2 linked regions of the Mus musculus genome follow. The protein of the gene in region 2 purifies or fractionates together with the protein of the main gene of each other region. This does not show direct contact. Links are inferred from orthologs where the notes say so. Each region holds a gene or a part of one and is shown on either strand. Other genes may lie near its edges.

What was found. Proteins that work in one complex are often made in the same cells at the same time.
Region 1: the proteins of Ppp2r2c (region 2) and Cct7 purify together in Homo sapiens (affinity purification with mass spectrometry; 4 studies listed by BioGRID and IntAct, counting the BioPlex papers as one, with this or other methods). This does not show direct contact. The link is inferred for Mus musculus from reciprocal best matches to the Homo sapiens genes PPP2R2C and CCT7.

The regions. Positions count from the first base shown.
Region 1 is NC_000072.6:85,449,942-85,454,348, reverse strand, and holds the start of Cct7 (T-complex protein 1 subunit eta), read right to left. Parts: upstream 2,845-4,407; 5' UTR 2,228-2,844; coding exon 2,222-2,227; intron 1-2,221. Other genes in the region: Pradc1 (protease-associated domain-containing protein 1 isoform b precursor), read left to right, coding at 3,170-3,236. UniProt on the Homo sapiens protein: Component of the chaperonin-containing T-complex (TRiC), a molecular chaperone complex that assists the folding of actin, tubulin and other proteins upon ATP hydrolysis.
Region 2 is NC_000071.6:36,923,956-36,927,562, forward strand, and holds part of Ppp2r2c (serine/threonine-protein phosphatase 2A 55 kDa regulatory subunit B gamma isoform), read left to right. Parts: intron 1-2,329; coding exon 2,330-2,495; intron 2,496-3,575; coding exon 3,576-3,607. UniProt on the Homo sapiens protein: The B regulatory subunit might modulate substrate selectivity and catalytic activity, and might also direct the localization of the catalytic enzyme to a particular subcellular compartment.

The DNA.
Region 1 (4,407 bases), on a different chromosome or scaffold from region 2:
TGCTGGTCAGGAAACTCCCCTCTATCAGTGTCAGGCATATACTGAAGAGTAAATACCTTCCTTTTCCCAGAGTATCCAGGGTCTCGTGACAAGAAAGGGCTTCTCTATACTCTCAGCATTTTGGGGGGCACTCCTTAGTTCCATCTAGAAGGAAAATGCTTTCCCAAAGGTCCCACAGTCTCATGGTCCTTCTGGAACAAACCTTAGGACAGTCAAGAGCGGTGGTTCTCAGCCTGTGTGTTGTGACACTTTTAGAGTCAAATGGCCCTTTAACAGGCATGGAGACACTGGTATTTATGTTACAACTCATAACAACAGAAAATTAGTCATGAAGCAACAATGCAATGATTTTATGGTTGGGGGTCACCACAACACAAGGAACTATATAAAAGGGTTTCAGTATTAGGAAGGTTGAGAACCACTGATCTAAAGCCAGGCATGGCTGTGCACAGCTATGATCCCAGTGCGTGCTTGGGAGGTGGAGGCAGGAGGACTGCTGTGATATCAAGGCCAGCCACAGGGAAAATAAGGCTGGCAGCAGTACAGTAAGCCAAGCTATGGTTACAAGGTAGGTCCCCTTCTGCCATTCTTTGGCAATAGTACTGCCTAGAACCATTCCTTACTTTCCACCTCACTCTTCTTGTTCCTTCACAAGGGCTTAGTACCCTTAGAACCATAAAAGGCTTTAGTGTTTCGTCTTAATCTTCCTCTCCATTTTCCTTAGATCGTTTAAGGGACTGACTGGAAGAATCTCTTACAACACTGGCTGCTCTTCCAGAACTGGGGTTCCCTCCACTCCTAGCATCCACAAGGTGGGTCACCACATCTGTAACTCTAGTTCCAGAGATCTGACACCTCCATGGGCATTACATGTACATAGTAACCAGGCACACAGTAGTCATAACACCCACATACACTAAATAAAACAAAAGTCAATACTATCTATTAAACAATTAGTTGGAGGAGGCCCTGGAAGTGGCTCAGGGGTAAAGCTGCTAGATGCATAAGCCTAAGCACCAGAACTCATTACAAGTCTGTCATTGTGGTATATATCTGTAATCCCAGAACTGCTACAGCAAGATGGGAGGAAACAAGAGTCACCAGCAGCTCATAAGCTGTAAGTATGCAGCACAGCAGCAGAAACAAGAATCATCAATTTAGGTAAAACCCAAATGTGATGGTCTGGGACCCTTTGATAAAAGGTTTGCTACTTGTTTTGGCCAATGCTGGGCCACTGGTCATATCAGCAGCAATGATGCATATTTTACTGCAGCACATATGACTCATGGATTTATGCCTCAGCTCTGGTCTTCGCCGACCAAATCAATTTCAAGCGCTAGGGGTCAGGGAGCATGGACATGCTTCTGTAGGGACTCCTTCGGAGGAGAAGCTGTAATTTGGTAGCAGAGGGAGGACCTTACAGGTTTCCAAGTCTGTCTGGCATCTACGCATAGGAAGAAGCTGCAAAAGGCAGACAAAGGATTGACACTAAAAAGCAAAACTTAACGAGTGTGCTGATGCCAAACGCACAGGATTCTGTCTTGGAAGTTGACATTGCTCACTAACAACTCAGGTTTATCACAGGGGAACAGGGGAGGTATCTGACGCTGTCGGGGATAAAGGGTGATGCAGGAGGATTACAGGCAGACCTTTAAGAGACTCTCCTGCCTAAAGTACTCAGGTCGTCCCATCTTTGGTACTGTGTACATCAATTGCCCTTTTCCAGCACCAAGTACATTCGGGAGAACTAAAAATGCCCCCAACGAACAGGTTCCAACAGGAACGAAGGATTCTGTCTTTCCACATGCGGGAACGTAAACGACCACAATGCCAGGCAGGGCGTCACTTGGCCCAACCTAAAGACCCTCACGCTGCCTCTGTGCGCCTAGAAGCTCGCGCCTTCACTTCCGCACCTCCCAGGGCGATGTAACCCGGCCTTATGGTAGAGGTACAGAGCTCAACACACACTCGGTTCCGAAAACCCAAGCCTCCATTACGGGGAACAGGCTGAACAAGAGGTCTGTGGTCCCAAGCACCATGAGATCCATGGTTTCCAGGCCCAGCGGCATCGCGAGCCCCATTCGGCTCTCGCCAACAGCTTCAGTTTTGGATCAAGGCCGCCTCCGGCCGGGGAGCGGAAACGAGCCACTGTAGACACTCCGCATGGCGGGCCAGGGCCGCAGGGTCGTGGATGGCAGCGGATGCGCGGAGAGACACTCACCATCATCTTGGAAGCGGCTTCAGGTACCCGCAACTCGTCAGTTGTCCGCCTCGGGGCCGCCCACCCAAGCCCACAATGCTCCGCGCCGGAGAAATGCCCAGAAGCTTCTGGCGAGACGTTAGCCCGGGAGAGGAAGGGGCCGGACCACTTCCGCCACTCTATGGTTAGCTCCCGAGGTAGCCGGCTAGAGGAGTCGGAGGTCCAGGGACGCTCTAGGAACTCGCGTTAGCTTTGGCGGGGGTCATCGAGTCTCGCAGTGCTTTTGGTTTGTAAGGTGCGGTAAGGTCCCGCCTCAGCCCGCGCTCCCAGACGCCATGGTAGACGTGCAATGAGCTATCAGTACTGAACACCGGCTAGGAGAAGCACCTTAGGTGAGTGATCTCACTGCACCTGCTCAGCTCCGTGGCGAGGGAGCTCCGTGAGTTTCACAGGTAGCTTGGGAAGTTGGGAACAGTGTCCCGGGTCACAGGTGCGCGGCCCGCTCGGGCGCAGGAAATTTGCTCGGGTCGGCTTCTAGCTCTGTAGCGCCCCTTATCGGCCGAGGCGGCGCCGTGCCGCCTGCCCCTTCGCGCGAGGCCCGTCTCTGCCTGGGGAGGAGAGCCGTGGATCCCGCGCAACCCCGCGAGCCGCCCACCGCAGGTTCCGGGAGGCGCGTCTATAAGGAGGAGTGCGGGGGCGGGGCCGCGAACTGCAGTTGCTATTAAGAGTTTTGGCCAATCAGCGCCCGGTTCCACTTCTCCTGGCCAATAGGAAGTGGCCTAGGGCGCAGAGGAGGAAAGTGCGGCCACACGAACAGGCGTGGCGGCCAATCAGCCGCTGGCCTCCGTTCTGTGCTCCAACCGGCGCGGAGAGCGGGCCTGAGGGAGGCCGTGGCAGCTGTCAGGCTAAAGTCGGGCGAGGGATCGCGGCGGGACGGCGGCGGCGGCGGCGGCGGGACGGGCCCTGGAGATGAGCCGTGGCGCCGCGGGCTGGTGCTGTCTCGTGCTCTGGCTGCCCACGTGCGTCGCGGCCCACGGTGAGCGGCGACGGACAGGCGGGCGGGGCGGGAATCCAGCGTGCGCGCTTCCCGGGCTGGGGGCCACGGGTCACCTTGGGGACCCCGCGAGTTTGGGCCGCCCAGATCCAGGGACTAGACGGCTGCAGCGGGTGGATGCTGGTTCCCGGGTCAGTGAGTAGGCACAACCTGACAACCCCACCCCTCCCCGTCGAAACAAGAGCTTTCAGCTTTCCTCCCACTGAAGGCGACCCTGGTGACAGCTAGAGATCCAGAACGGAGGATGTGAGCGTTCTTATAGGCAGGAACACACATATGGGCTCACACGCACAGGCACCCACTTACACAACTCGAACATAAATGTACACACCTACGCGTTAAGTGAACACATGCATATACCCGAAGCTTATTAGATAAGCACATCAAATGCCAGACAGGGGTGTGCTTGTGGAAAGGGTTGCCTGGTGTTAATCCAGAAGGCTTCCTGGGGGGGGGGGGGGGTTATCCATCTGATGAAGTGTACCTACACTCAGGACAAAAAGCTGCAAGCCCCCTTAGCTCTGTCTGAGCTGTAATTTGGACCATAGACAGGATCAATTATAGACACAGCAATTGGATTGACTAACAGACCTGAGCTTCCATCCATCAACATTTACTTGCCTTTCTGGCAAGTTTAAAGAATCCAGGGACTCAAATCCAACTGAGAAAAAATATCCTAGCAAAGCTCTCGTGGTTTTTTTGGCCATTCTCTTGTTCAGGACAGCAGAGCTGGGCAGAGTTCTTTGTTTAGTAACCTTTACTGAGCAGCCACTGTGTCCTAGGCACTGGAGATTCATCTCTGTATAAAGCCACATACTTAAGGCTGGAGAGGTGGTTCAGTGGTTAAGAGCACTGACTGCTCTTCCAGAGGTCCTGAGTTCAAGTCCCAGCAACCACATGGTGGCTCACAACCATTTGTAATGGGGATCTGATGCCCTCTTCTGGTGTGTCTGAAGAGAGAGAGACCGTGTATTCACATAAAATAAATAAGTCTTTTTTAAAAAGCCACATACTTAGAATCACTGCTGCGATGAAAGAAGCTGACATAGAATATTATGAATCCACCATAATTACAGAGGAAGTATTAGCTGGGAGAAAGTATATTTTGAATGGGTGGAGGAAGGATAAGGCAGCATCTTTCTGAGAAATGACA
Region 2 (3,607 bases):
CCCGTGGGAACCTGCTGGGTTCTTGGCTGTGTTCTGTCACCCTAGCAGGGGGGCCTCTCAATCACTGAATGTGTTGGGGGATGAGGAACCAGGGAAGGGAGAGGCTCAAGGGAGGCAGGGTCAGGCGAGGAGCTGAAGCCTCCTTCACCCCTCCAGGGTGAGGTCCCCTTGCTGCCTTAGCTCATACGGACCCCTCATCCCCACCCCACCACACAGAGAGCTGCTGTTACCCTTCATCTGACAGCTGAAGAACTGCAGCATAGAGGGCTTAAAATAGCTCGCCAAGGGCAGGCCAGGGACAGCCTGGTGCACACAGGTGTCACAAAACCAAACTGTCCCACCAGGGCACACCAGAGTCAGCCATCATTCTGCCCACTGCAGAGAGAAAGGAGCTCAGAGGTCCTGGCTTTTCTCCATTAGTCTGTCTCTCCCTCTCTTCCTGCTGACCTTTTTCACGACTAGGGCTCATGGGAAGAGGAGGCGAAAACGTGGAAGGATTTTCAAATAGATCCTAACTCAAGACAGAGACGGGGACCTAAAAATAGGCACTTTCAAAACGAGCAGAAAACCCGAAGCTGTGCTTGGCTGGGCCATCTTCACTCGTTCCCAGCTGTGATCTTGTGTTGTCATAGAAACTTGACTTGTCTGCTAGAAAAGTGGTCCCAGTATTTATGGCAGGTTCAGCACTCAGCTTTTGGAGGTCTCCACCAAGAGGGGGTACATAGGAACTCTGCTACCCAAACTGGGGTGGGAGCCACCGTGAGAAGCAGGGTTAAGACCTGACTAATGAGGATGGATAGAGGCTCAGCATTGGCATCTGACCTCAGCGGGGTGAATGGTGGCCACTTTGTGGAAACATGGGGAGACCCATGGTCTCACAAGTATGAGGACCTAAATTTAGTTCCCCAGAACCCACATGAAAATACGAGTGCCTGTGATCCCACTTTTGGGGAGGGTGGGGACAGGAAGATCTCCAAGGCTTGCTAGCCTAACTGGTGAGATCCAGGACAATGAGAGGCCCTGCCTCAAAGAGGGTGGGCAGTGTTTCTGAGGATGATACTAAGCTTGTCCCTTGTCCCTTGTGTGTGCATGTTCACACACATGTTTGCACACCTGCATATACACCTGCAAACCCTCGTCCACACACACAAATCTCTGGGCACACATCTGCATACCCTTTGTATACAATGCATACACTTTAGCACATATCCACATACACCCTGTATATACACACCTATGTACAAAAATACCCAGGTACACATGCATACACACCTGCACACATTTATATCCCTGTATACATACAAACTTGCACAAACACACACACACCTATACAAAACTGTGCACACACCTCTCTGTGCACATGCACACACACACACACACACACACACACACACATACACACTTCCCAATCTCCCACCTTCTGCTTGCATACATATACCCCCTGCATGTACCCATACCCTCCCTGTACCATACTGTCTTAGTCAGGGTTTCTATTCCTGCACAAACATCAGGACCAAGAAGCAAGTTGGGGAGGAAAGAGTTTATTTGGCTTACACTTCCATACTGTTGTTCATCACCAAGGAAATCAGGACTGGAACTCAAGCAGGTCAGAAAGCAGGAGCTGATGCAGAGGCCATGGAGGGATGTTCTTTACTGCCTTGCTTCCCCTGGCTTGCTCAGCCTGCTCTCTTATAGAACCAAGATTACCAGCCCAGAGATGGTCCCACCTACAAGAGGCCTTTCCCCCTTGATCACTAATTGAGAAATGCCTTACAGCTGGATCTCATGGAGGCATTTCCTCAACTGAAGCTCCTTTCTCTGTGATAACTCCAGCTGTGTCAAGTTGACACAAAACTAGCCAGTACACATACCTACACACACACACACACACACACACACACACACACACACTTTGATACCCACTACTTGCACACACATACCCCTGCATATACCCACACTCTCTCTGTGTACATGCCTACACACACACCTGTGGAACATACACACTTGCACACACATACCTGCACATACCTCTACACACACATACACACACACACACACACACACACACACACACTTTCCAATCTCCCACCTTCTGCTTGCATACATATACCCCCTGCATGTACCCACACCCTCCCTGTACCATACCTACACACACATACACATACACACACACACACATCCCTGTACACACATGTACACGGTATCAGTAGTTTCCTTTGCTGATGCTGATGGTACACATATTGCAACACGTGTTCAGCCCCTTCTCACGCCTGCCTCCCTCTTCCATGGGCACTCCTTCGGCTCAGTCTGCCTTTGGGTTTCCCTGCAGAGTAAGAACGCACCTCACAGCCAGGGTGAGTACGATGTATACAGCACCTTCCAGAGCCACGAGCCGGAGTTTGACTACCTGAAGAGCCTGGAGATAGAGGAGAAAATCAACAAGATCAAATGGCTCCCGCAGCAGAACGCCGCGCACTCGCTGCTGTCCACCAATGGTGAGGCCCCGCGGGTGTGGCTGTCCTGACTCACTCAGCCTTCCAGGTTTCTCTGTGGTTTTAGTGACAACCAGGCCACCCTTCAGCTTTCCCTGACTGGTCACAAATCTCCCACCCTTGTAGATATAATGGGCATGGAGGGCTCCAAGGTGGAGACGAGATTGAATACTTCAAACACCAAGGACACCAGCTTTACTGCTCATTTCTACCCTGTCCTCACAGAAGGCTGCACCCCTATTGAGGGCCCCATTTGAAAGCAGTTTTCCCTCTAGCTTCTTCCCATGTTCACAGCGTTGTTGGTTTTGACTGCGGATGTTATCGGGGATCCTCTGGGGAAGCCAGGTGTGTGGGGGAGAGACCAAGAGAGGAGAGAGGGGGAGGTGGAGATGGAGAGGACCTGTGATTCTGACCCCTGCGATTGTGAGGCCAGAAGCTCACAGCTCAAGCCTGGAGGGCGTGTGCTGGCAGAATCCCCTCCTCCCAAGGAGGTAGGCTTTCATTCTGTCAGCGCCTTCAGCCAATGATATGAGGTCTACCATCTCCTGATGGCAGGTTATCTGCTTATGGATTTAAATTTTAATTAATTCTAAAGGATCCTTCATAAAAGAGCCAGTGTGTTCTGAACAATGTCTGTGTCACAGCCAAGGTGAGCCATAAAATTATCGCCACTGATTCTTCCTCCTGTGACGTCCAAGGAAGGAGTACGGGGGAGAGGCTCCGGGAGCTGGCTTCTGGGTGGCAAGTACCACTGAATTAGGAATGGCAGAGTGGCCACCTTCTTCTCAGGAAGGGACAGTGGTACATGCTCAGTGTAGAGGTCAGTAGTGACCCTTGCAAGGGGCATGCTTTTTGACCTAGTAACATCCCCTGCCAGTGAGTAGAAGATGCAGCAGAAACAGATTGCCCATATTCAGAGGTATTCTACACAAGGCACAGTGAGGGGGGAGAGGGACATGGATGGTCATTTCCAGGGTGGTGGCCCCAGGACACACATCACTGTCCCTCTAGCTAGAGTGGGTATTCTCTTCCTGGCCTGGCTGTTGACAGAATACCTTGTTCTTCCCTGATCTGTCCTTAAAGATAAAACTATCAAATTATGGAAGATTACCGAA